Linked DNA regions of Ovis aries. The protein of the gene in region 2 interacts with the protein of the main gene of each other region in a biochemical or structural test. Links are inferred from orthologs where the notes say so. Each region holds a gene or a part of one and is shown on either strand. Other genes may lie near its edges.

Region 1 (3,803 bases), on a different chromosome or scaffold from region 2:
AGACAGACCCTTCTGGAATCTTGCTCACCTCCTGGGGGAAAGCCTGCATCTGGGACTACCCTCTCCCGGGGCCAAGGCTTCTGGTCTGCAGATGGTCCCAGCACTGTGTTCCTGCCACCTGGGAATGGACTGTGGCAACACCCAAGGTTCCCCTCCTGTGCTGCCTGTACCCTCCCTACCAGTCTCTTGAGGACTGCAGGCTGCCTCCTAGACTGATCCAACCTGTCTATCCCCCTGCCTCCCCTGAACCCTAGTGAGACCTCAGGACAGTTGAAAGGACTGAAGGGAAAGGAGTATTGGGAGCCATTCTGGCCAATGTGGAAGCAAGGAATGCCCAAATGATCCTTACGGCTCCTCTCTAGTCCCATGACCCAAGAGCCCATACTTCCTCTGAGTATCAAATGGGAACTGCGTGGTCTAGAGCCAGGGAAACAGGCTGTGGAGTTTTATTAGACGTTAAGATTTTTTTCAAGGAACAGAAATATAAAGCAATCTGCCAGCAGCCCCTCCCTCTAGGGAATCTGGTGCTAAATCATTCCATCCATGAGCAAAGATGCCTCGGCAGCAAGAATCTGACTCCCCTTTCCGCTGTTTGCAGTGTTGTTCCCACTGACTGTATGGGGGCAGGGAGGAAAGGGCTGGTGGCTGGAAATCAAACCCTGGGGGAGCAGGGCTGCTGGGTGGTGAGAGCAGCCACTTTCTCATTGGTAACAGGCGCCCTTCCCCCCCCCCCCCCCCCCCCCCCGTCTTGGCACCAGAGTCCTGATGATTGGCTGTTCATTTGCTTTGGCCCTGAGCTGTCTCCGTCTCTTATCTGTCCAGAGAGATGAAAACTCTGAGAGAAATGAGCAGGTCGGAATTCCCAGAGTGGAGTCAGGATTTGAACCCAAGGTCCCATCCCTCTGCCTTTTGTTCTTGGGTACAGACACCTCCCATTTGATACTTAATATATGGAATGGTAGGATTAAGGACTGAGAGTAGAGCTCTGCTAGGCTTTCTTAGAAAAAGATTCTCCTCAGGGTAGACGCAGGTGTGCAGCTTAGCAAGTGGCATTTGGGCTAGATTTCAGCTTCAAGTTGTCCCCTTGGCTGGGAGCCCTGAGCAAGCTGCAACTTGGCTGCTGGTTCCTGACCGCCGCCCAAAGGCCCTCTGCTGGTCCTCAGGTTACCTTCCCCACATGGTGTATCCTTGGGATTCCAGGAGTTACTGTAACCCCAAGGTGAACTTTGCAGAAGGTCAGCATCCGAGGCTCTGATCTCACAACCCAGCAGCTTGCAGGGGTGTGCTGTCCCCCTGCCCTTCTTCCCTGTCAGCTTTCAAATGCCAAAGCCTCCCTGGTGAGCTCATCCCAGGCCAGGTGGTTCCAATAGAAGGCTTTAGGAAGGGGTGTTTGCTCCCTCAGAATACATCCTGTCCCCTTTCTCTTGCCAGTCTGACCTTCTGATCTTCCCCCATCCAGGTGTCCCTTGGAGGTGCCAAGGAGGCGTGCCCCACGGGCCTGTACACCCACAGCGGAGAGTGCTGCAAAGCCTGCAACCTGGGTGAGGGTGTGGCCCAGCCTTGTGGAGCCAACCAGACCGTGTGTGAACCCTGCCTGGACAGTAAGTAGAAAGTGTCTGGTGGGGGAAGAAGAGCAGAATGGAAGGGAGAGCAAGGGGACTGGCGGGCATGCCCAGTAGAGGCCTTTCAGGCGCTCTGGGTTCTGGCAGGAACTCCTGCCCACCGCCGCATGGGTGCCATAAGTGAGTCTATGGATGAGGGAAGTATGCAGAGGGAGAAGGGGGCCTGATGGGGGATGCCCAGGGGGTGCCCGTTCCCAGCCCCCAAGTAGAGAGGCCTAGTAGAAGAGTGTGGCTAGGTGGGAGGAGTAGCTGATGCTAAGATCAGCTAAAAATATCATCTGCTGTGCAAAATCAATGGCTGCCACTTACCCTCGGTGCATTTGGGGGGAGGGGAAGAGGATCAAATCCTAGCTACCCTGGAGACTGACCTTGGGGGATCCTGGGAGGGTGTGGCTACCAACACCCATCAGCCCCCAGCACCTCCCACTACCCAACCACCACCACCACCCTGCCCCACCACTGCTCTCCAGGGCAACTGTACTCCAGTCCTGACAGAGGAAACAGGGTTTTCCCCAGGCTACAGGGATGGGGGTTGGAGCATTACAAGGATGTCCTTACTGGGGAGTGATGCTGGGTGCATCAGCGGGGAGGGGCGCTGTGGCCATTCCTACCTGGGATTTCCTTGAGGAGGGGAGAGAACCCCATCTTCCAGAGGTGCTGGATGAGGTGGTGGGTCTGTGATCTGAAATTCTGTGCCCTTGTCTCATCTCTGATGGATGCCCCCCGCCACCAGCTGCTTTCAGGCCATGAACCCTTTTCCTGACTCTGTCTGGAAACCTTTCCTGTCGACAGTTAGGTCCTGCCTTCTACCTGACACTCCGTGCCCCCCGGGGGGCCAGTGGGAACTCTACTCAGATTGTTCTTCAATCATGTTGGGACCAGGGTATAGGAACTGGGAACTCTGGATCCGCTTGTCTTACCTTGAATGTCTTGCCACCGCTGCCACCACCACCACCTCCAGGCACCACACTGCACACAGCATCCCTCCTTCAGGCAACCCCAACTCCTTGGTGTCCCAAACACAGCTTTCCTATTTCTGTGCTTGTGGATCCTGTAACTCCATCCCCCAGCAGAGGGATGCCAGGTAGGGAAGGCTAGACATCCCTTTGCTACCTTGCCATCTGGGTACCTCCCCTGGCCCTAGCCTAACAGGGTTTCTATCCCAGGGCAGGACTAGCCAATCACACTTGCCCTGGAATCTCCCATGTTTTCCTCTCATTTCCTAGACTCTCACCCAGGACCTTTTCTCTTTGGACTGTAAGTCTCCCAGGATGGGACCCTAATCCTTCTGTCAAAGCAAGGGCTGGGATACAGGAGGCTGAGAGAGGGCATCTCCAGGGAAGGGGAGGGGAGACAGGAGCAGAGAGGGAGCTCAGAAATCCCACTTGCTCCCTCCACTCCCCTCCCTTCCTCTTCTTCTCTCACATTTCCCGCCCTCCCCCAGCTGTGTTAACAGGCTGCCTTTAAAAGTCTACTTTATGGGATGGAGACCCCAGCGGACTTTCCCTCTATCCTCAAAACGTTTCCACAAGGAAACCCATTAAGCTCCTGCCTTCATTCTCTGCCAAAAAAGACCACATTTTTCCCACTCCCTAAAACTCTCTCCTAGGAGTTCGCTGCTAATTTTCTATATTTTCCCATAAGCAGGGCCCTCTCCTTCCCTTCCCATGTGGCTAGACCCACCCCACTGCCACATGCCAACGAGATAGGAGCTTCTTGTATAAATTGGACATCTTGCCTTTGCTGTTTATGTTTGGAAGTCCTTTCTGTTTGACTGTGCCTGCTACTGAATTTGTCATTGCCCACCCCAGGGGCCCAACTGTTACAGGATCCCTGCTGTGTGTCAAGTGCTTTATGGTGGAATTTCACTTATTCCTCACCAAAACCCTGTGAACGGAGACATTATTCCCAGTTTTACAGAGAAAGAAAAAAGCTCAGAGAGGTTAAGTAAGACACCCAGAGTCACACAGCTAATAAAGTGATGGAAGCAGGTTTTGAATCCAGATCTGCTCGATGCCTAGGAAGAGAAACACAGGAGTTGCTCTGCCAGAAGTGAGTTGAAACTGAAGGCTCCCTCCAGGCCCATCTCTATCTTTTCTTCTCTCCATCCACCCCGCCCCCCTCTCCCAACTGCTGCCCCTTTCACTTCTCTCTGCTTTTTTCCTTCTTTGCTTCTCCAGC
Region 2 (4,495 bases):
TGTGAAACTGGCCCAGAGTTGAGTTCTCAGGACTGGCTGAGCCTAGGAGCTGACAGTTTAGTTGATGGTTTGCAAGTTCAGAGGTGCCAGTCAAAGAAAGAGAAACCCTCTGGGAACGTGGGTTGTTTGCTCATAGATATCCAGACTTTATATGAGTCCTCAGCAAGCCTTCCACCGCCTGCTGAGGGCAGAGTGTCATTTTCTGTGGCTCCAGTGGAGTTGCCACTGAAATAAGGCACTCCATGAATGTGCAGCCGAAGTGCTCAGCACTCATTTAAAAGGAAAGTTGTGTGATTTTCTCATCAGTTTAATCTCAGCAATGATGAGAAACTTCCCTCGGGCTCCAGCCCTGCCCTGCCGTGCCCTACCCTCCCTGCTGATGTCGGCAGCTGGGGCCCCCTTCCTGGACACTGCGCAGATTTTTCTCTGGAAGAGGAGCGTGTGAAGCCTCATTCCCTGCTCCTTCTGCCCCTCCAGGTTGAGTAGATCTGTGGTGGGAAGTAGGAGAAGGTGAGAACCCCACTTGTGGACAAAGGTTAAGGATATGGGAAGTCCCTAGTACTAGGATGGCTGCCCCGAGTGGAGCCAATTTTCCAATTCTCTCGTGGGTCTGGGGAGTTTTAGGGTGAGATGGCTGTCCAGGGATGGCATGGCGCTAGCAGCTGCTATAAAATCCTCTGAGATGCTTCTACAGTCCTATCCATACCTGTGTCCCCAGTCCCCGAGACCGTGGTTCCCCATTTCCCTTGGTGCCTCCTAACACTTTTCCCTTCAAGGTTGCCCTTTTTCCCTACCTGCACAAAAACATTGGCAAAAGCCTGGGGAGGATTTTGGTGGCATGTGATGTTAATCCCAACCCCCTTCAAGGACCAGAGTCTGAGCAACATTCATTTCCTCTCTGAGTCAACACCAGCAGGGCCAGCCTCAGACCCCAGACCGCTCTCACTCACCCTCCAACCCCAGTCCTCAGCTACCTCAATGTCCGGGAACACTGACCGTGGTGGATTGACATTCGGGTTGCCCAGGCTGACCTATGACTTCGCCACAAAAGAGACCCTTCCTGACCAAATGGAGTCCTTGTTCAGTGGGTCTTCAGAAGGGGAAAGTTTCAGACATTGGATAGGAAATAGCAAACACTGCGCAAGAAGGGCTGGCAGGGCCCAGCGGCCGTCGTCCTTCGGCACCACACTGAAAAGGAGAAACAGTCCCCTCCGGCAGACTCAAGCGACTGCTTCAAGAGTCTGAAGACCCTGGAGAGAAGATACTGGTGGGTCTGCCCCTGCCCTTTCTGAATTTAAGAATGTAGTTGGCCGTGCATGTGTGGGGAACGGGGTGGGGGCGGTTGGCACTGTAGTGGGTGCGCCCAGAGGATGGAGCCAGAACAATTAATCAAGTGCCTTTTCTCCAGGATTTCCATTGGCCTCAGATGACAGAGGGGGCAGAGATACCCAGGAGAGTCCTATTTTGGTTTCCAGCTGGGAACGTGCACTAAGTTTTCCTTAATACCCATAGCACCCAAAGGCTTTGCAGTAATACACTTTAATGCATGAAACACCCATAAATTATCCGACAAACTGTTACAACTTCCAACCTGGAACAACTTGGAAAAACCAGCCTAGCAAGCACGCTCTTTTTAAATCTCTCAAGTCACTAGAGAAGAGAAAGTTCAAGCAGAAAACACCTTCCATGAGAATCTCAGAATTTTTTATTTTTTGGAAAGCAAAAGGAGAGTTGTAATCTGAGTGAAGCCGCTTGTTTATGATTGCTCAAAGATGCCGCTCCTTGACCCCAAGTCCTGTCTCTCCCTCCTCCGGGTTTTTGCCGCCTGGACCTAAGGCGCTGCCCGCCCCACCCCTTCATGCCAACTTCTACACCTGGCAGCAGACAGCTGGAGGTGAGGCGTGTGACCCACGTAGCAGGACCTTCCATGGAGGCTGATCAGCAGGCTTCCTCTATCATCCCCTGGAGCCATCACTCAGGATTCCCAACCCTCCAGCGACCCTGCTCCACTCGCTGCACCAGGTCCAGAACCCCCTGCCGGGTTCGTCCCGATACCTGGGAGCAGCGTCCCGGGGACAGCGTAGCCCACGCGAGACTGGGCGCACACCGCAGCCCGCGCTCGCCGCGCATTCGCCCTCCGCGGTGCAGACCACCGCTCTTGCTGTCCTGGAGCGCTCACAGCCCGCGCATCCCTCTCGCCCCGCTCCTTTACTCTCCCTCGCTTGCGCGCTGTCCCCCTTCTAACCCTCGAGCTAGTCTCTGGCACCGTGGTGCCGCGACTGCAGGCGCCCGGGTTGCCTCCCGGACTTCCGACCATCCATCGGGAGATCGGAAACTCCACGACCTGATAGAGCGCTACTCCCCACGACTCGCCCGCCAGCAGAGGCTCCCGCGCTCCCGCACCCACTCGGGACGCTCCTCTCACCGCCGCACTTCAGCCCGCGGGACCTCTGGGGCGGTGGTGCCCGGAGATCTCGCCAGACCGCGATCCCTGCCTACCCTCCCCCTGGAGCCTAGCCACGCCGGCCCGCGCCCGTGCCCGCGCTGCACCCCTCTCGGGCTGAGCTCGGGGCAGACTGACTCACCGCTGCGCTCCCCTCCGGCTCCCAGCGCTCTCTGCTGTGCCGGAGCGCCGAGCTGCTCAACACAAGCTTCTTGAATTCTTAGCCCCTCCTCCCTGAGTCACCCACTCCAAATCCTTTCCCCCACTCCAACCCTCCCCGGCCCCAGTCCCGCACCTGCTCTGGCCAGGCGGAGGTGCCCGCCAGCGGGGGCTCCTGGGGACGAGAGAGGTTGGTCGATCTTGCCCCGGGAAGGCTGACTGGACCCGGCCTGGGAGGGGTTCAACCCTCCAGAGGTCAAAAGGAAGCGCACGCGGTTGGAGGGGCCTCGCGCAGAACCCGGCTGGCTGGGGATTTTCTGAGACACCAGGCTGGGGTACTGGTTGCCGACGCCCACGGGCCGACAAGTTCGGGGAGGGTGGATTTGCCCGGCTGACCACGCACCTCCCCGCCCCCCACCTCCCCACGCTTTCCTTCAGCATTGCCTGCAGCCAGCGCCTGGAGCCCGGCGGGAGTGTCCTTCCCCGTCGGTCGTCACCTTCCCTGCCCTAGGCTTCTGCTCCTCCTGCTCCTGGCAGCCACAAGAGACAAGTCCAGAGACCCCTTTCTCCCGGGACGCCTCCTGTCACCCTGGGAGAAAAAGCGCACCCAGGGGAGCTCTGCAAGATGAAGGTGCAGAGGCTTCTCTGACACAAGGGAGGGCTGTGGCCCTGAGAACCGTATCCCCCTAGAAGACCCTTGCGGGCAAGGGCAAGTCCTCTGTAGAGAAAAGGTGCAGAGTGCTTAGGCATCAGGACCTAGAATCAGAGGCTTCACTAAAGGCCCTGACTCAGGAAACTTCCTTCCTGGAGTCCCTGATCCTTCTGAAGTGAAGTGAAGTGAAGTGAAGTGGCTCAGTGGTGTCCGACTCTTTGCGACCCGTGGACTGTAGCCCACCAAGCTCCTCCGTCCATGGGAGAATACTGGAGTGGGTTGCCATTTCCTTCTCCAGGGGATCTTCCCGACCCAAGGATCGAAACCAGGTCTCCCACATTGCAGGCAGACGCTTTAACCTCTGCACCACCAGGGAAGCCCGATCGATCCTTCTGAAGTTGTAGTCATGTTGGTCTGTGTGTGATGCCTGCATTTTTCTGGATAGAGGATGCACAGCTTTCATCTATGTTGCAAGAGTTTTGTGACTAAACTGACCTAGGAAGACAGCCTTCCACCCCACCCCAAGCCTTACCCAAATTCTTCTTTTCCTCCACCATCTGTGCTTTCTGTGGGATGGGATCTCCTGGATCACCCTCCAAGATTTCTTGGGTTCTGTGCAGTCAGAGCTTGACGGGGGAAGCATGTCTGACCCATGACCCATACTGGCAAGGCAGAAATATCCCCAAAGTCAGATTCCCACTAAATGTGCATCATTAATTTAATAGTGTTCTGGGGGATTCATATGTCTTTGGAAATTCATTCCACCAACTCCTCTGGTGTTGAGCTTGGAGACGTGTTTCTTCAGTTCTTTCTTGAGCAAATTGAATGCTGAACCCCTACTCTACCTGATACCACAAGGGAGGAAGGCATGTGAGGAGAGAGAGAGGGAGAGACAGAGTCTCCCTTTATGGGTGAAGCCATGCCACCGCAATCAATGTGAAGGTCACCCACGGGGGCCAGACTTAGTGAGGCATAGGGATTCCTGCTCTGAGTACAGAGGTGGCCCTTGTTTCCCCAGTGGAGGGCACTTGAACAAGGGGAGGCTCTGCTTTGGCACTTGACACAGATCGATCTGAGGTCACCACTTCTTTCTGTTTTTGTCTTTGCCCCCATACCTAGGTTTACCCATTGACCTGAGAGGGATGAGGTAGGAAGAAAGCCTCAGGCTTGGAAGGGAGCTTCAGCTCTGATATGACCTCGTTATTTCCCAGCAAAGGCTTATCCACTTCAGTTGTTCAGAT

The links.
Region 1: the proteins of NGF (region 2) and NGFR form a complex in vitro, tested with the Homo sapiens proteins (2 studies listed by BioGRID and IntAct, with this or other methods). The link is inferred for Ovis aries from reciprocal best matches to the Homo sapiens genes NGF and NGFR.

The regions. Positions count from the first base shown.
Region 1 is NC_056064.1:36,834,974-36,838,776, reverse strand, and holds part of NGFR (tumor necrosis factor receptor superfamily member 16), read left to right. Parts: intron 1-1,459; coding exon 1,460-1,601; intron 1,602-3,803. UniProt on the Homo sapiens protein: Low affinity receptor which can bind to NGF, BDNF, NTF3, and NTF4. Forms a heterodimeric receptor with SORCS2 that binds the precursor forms of NGF, BDNF and NTF3 with high affinity, and has much lower affinity for mature NGF and BDNF.
Region 2 is NC_056054.1:92,707,010-92,711,504, forward strand, and holds the start of NGF (beta-nerve growth factor), read right to left. Parts: upstream 2,835-4,495; 5' UTR 2,739-2,834; intron 2,619-2,738; exon of another isoform or gene 2,586-2,618; intron 1-2,585. UniProt on the Homo sapiens protein: Nerve growth factor is important for the development and maintenance of the sympathetic and sensory nervous systems.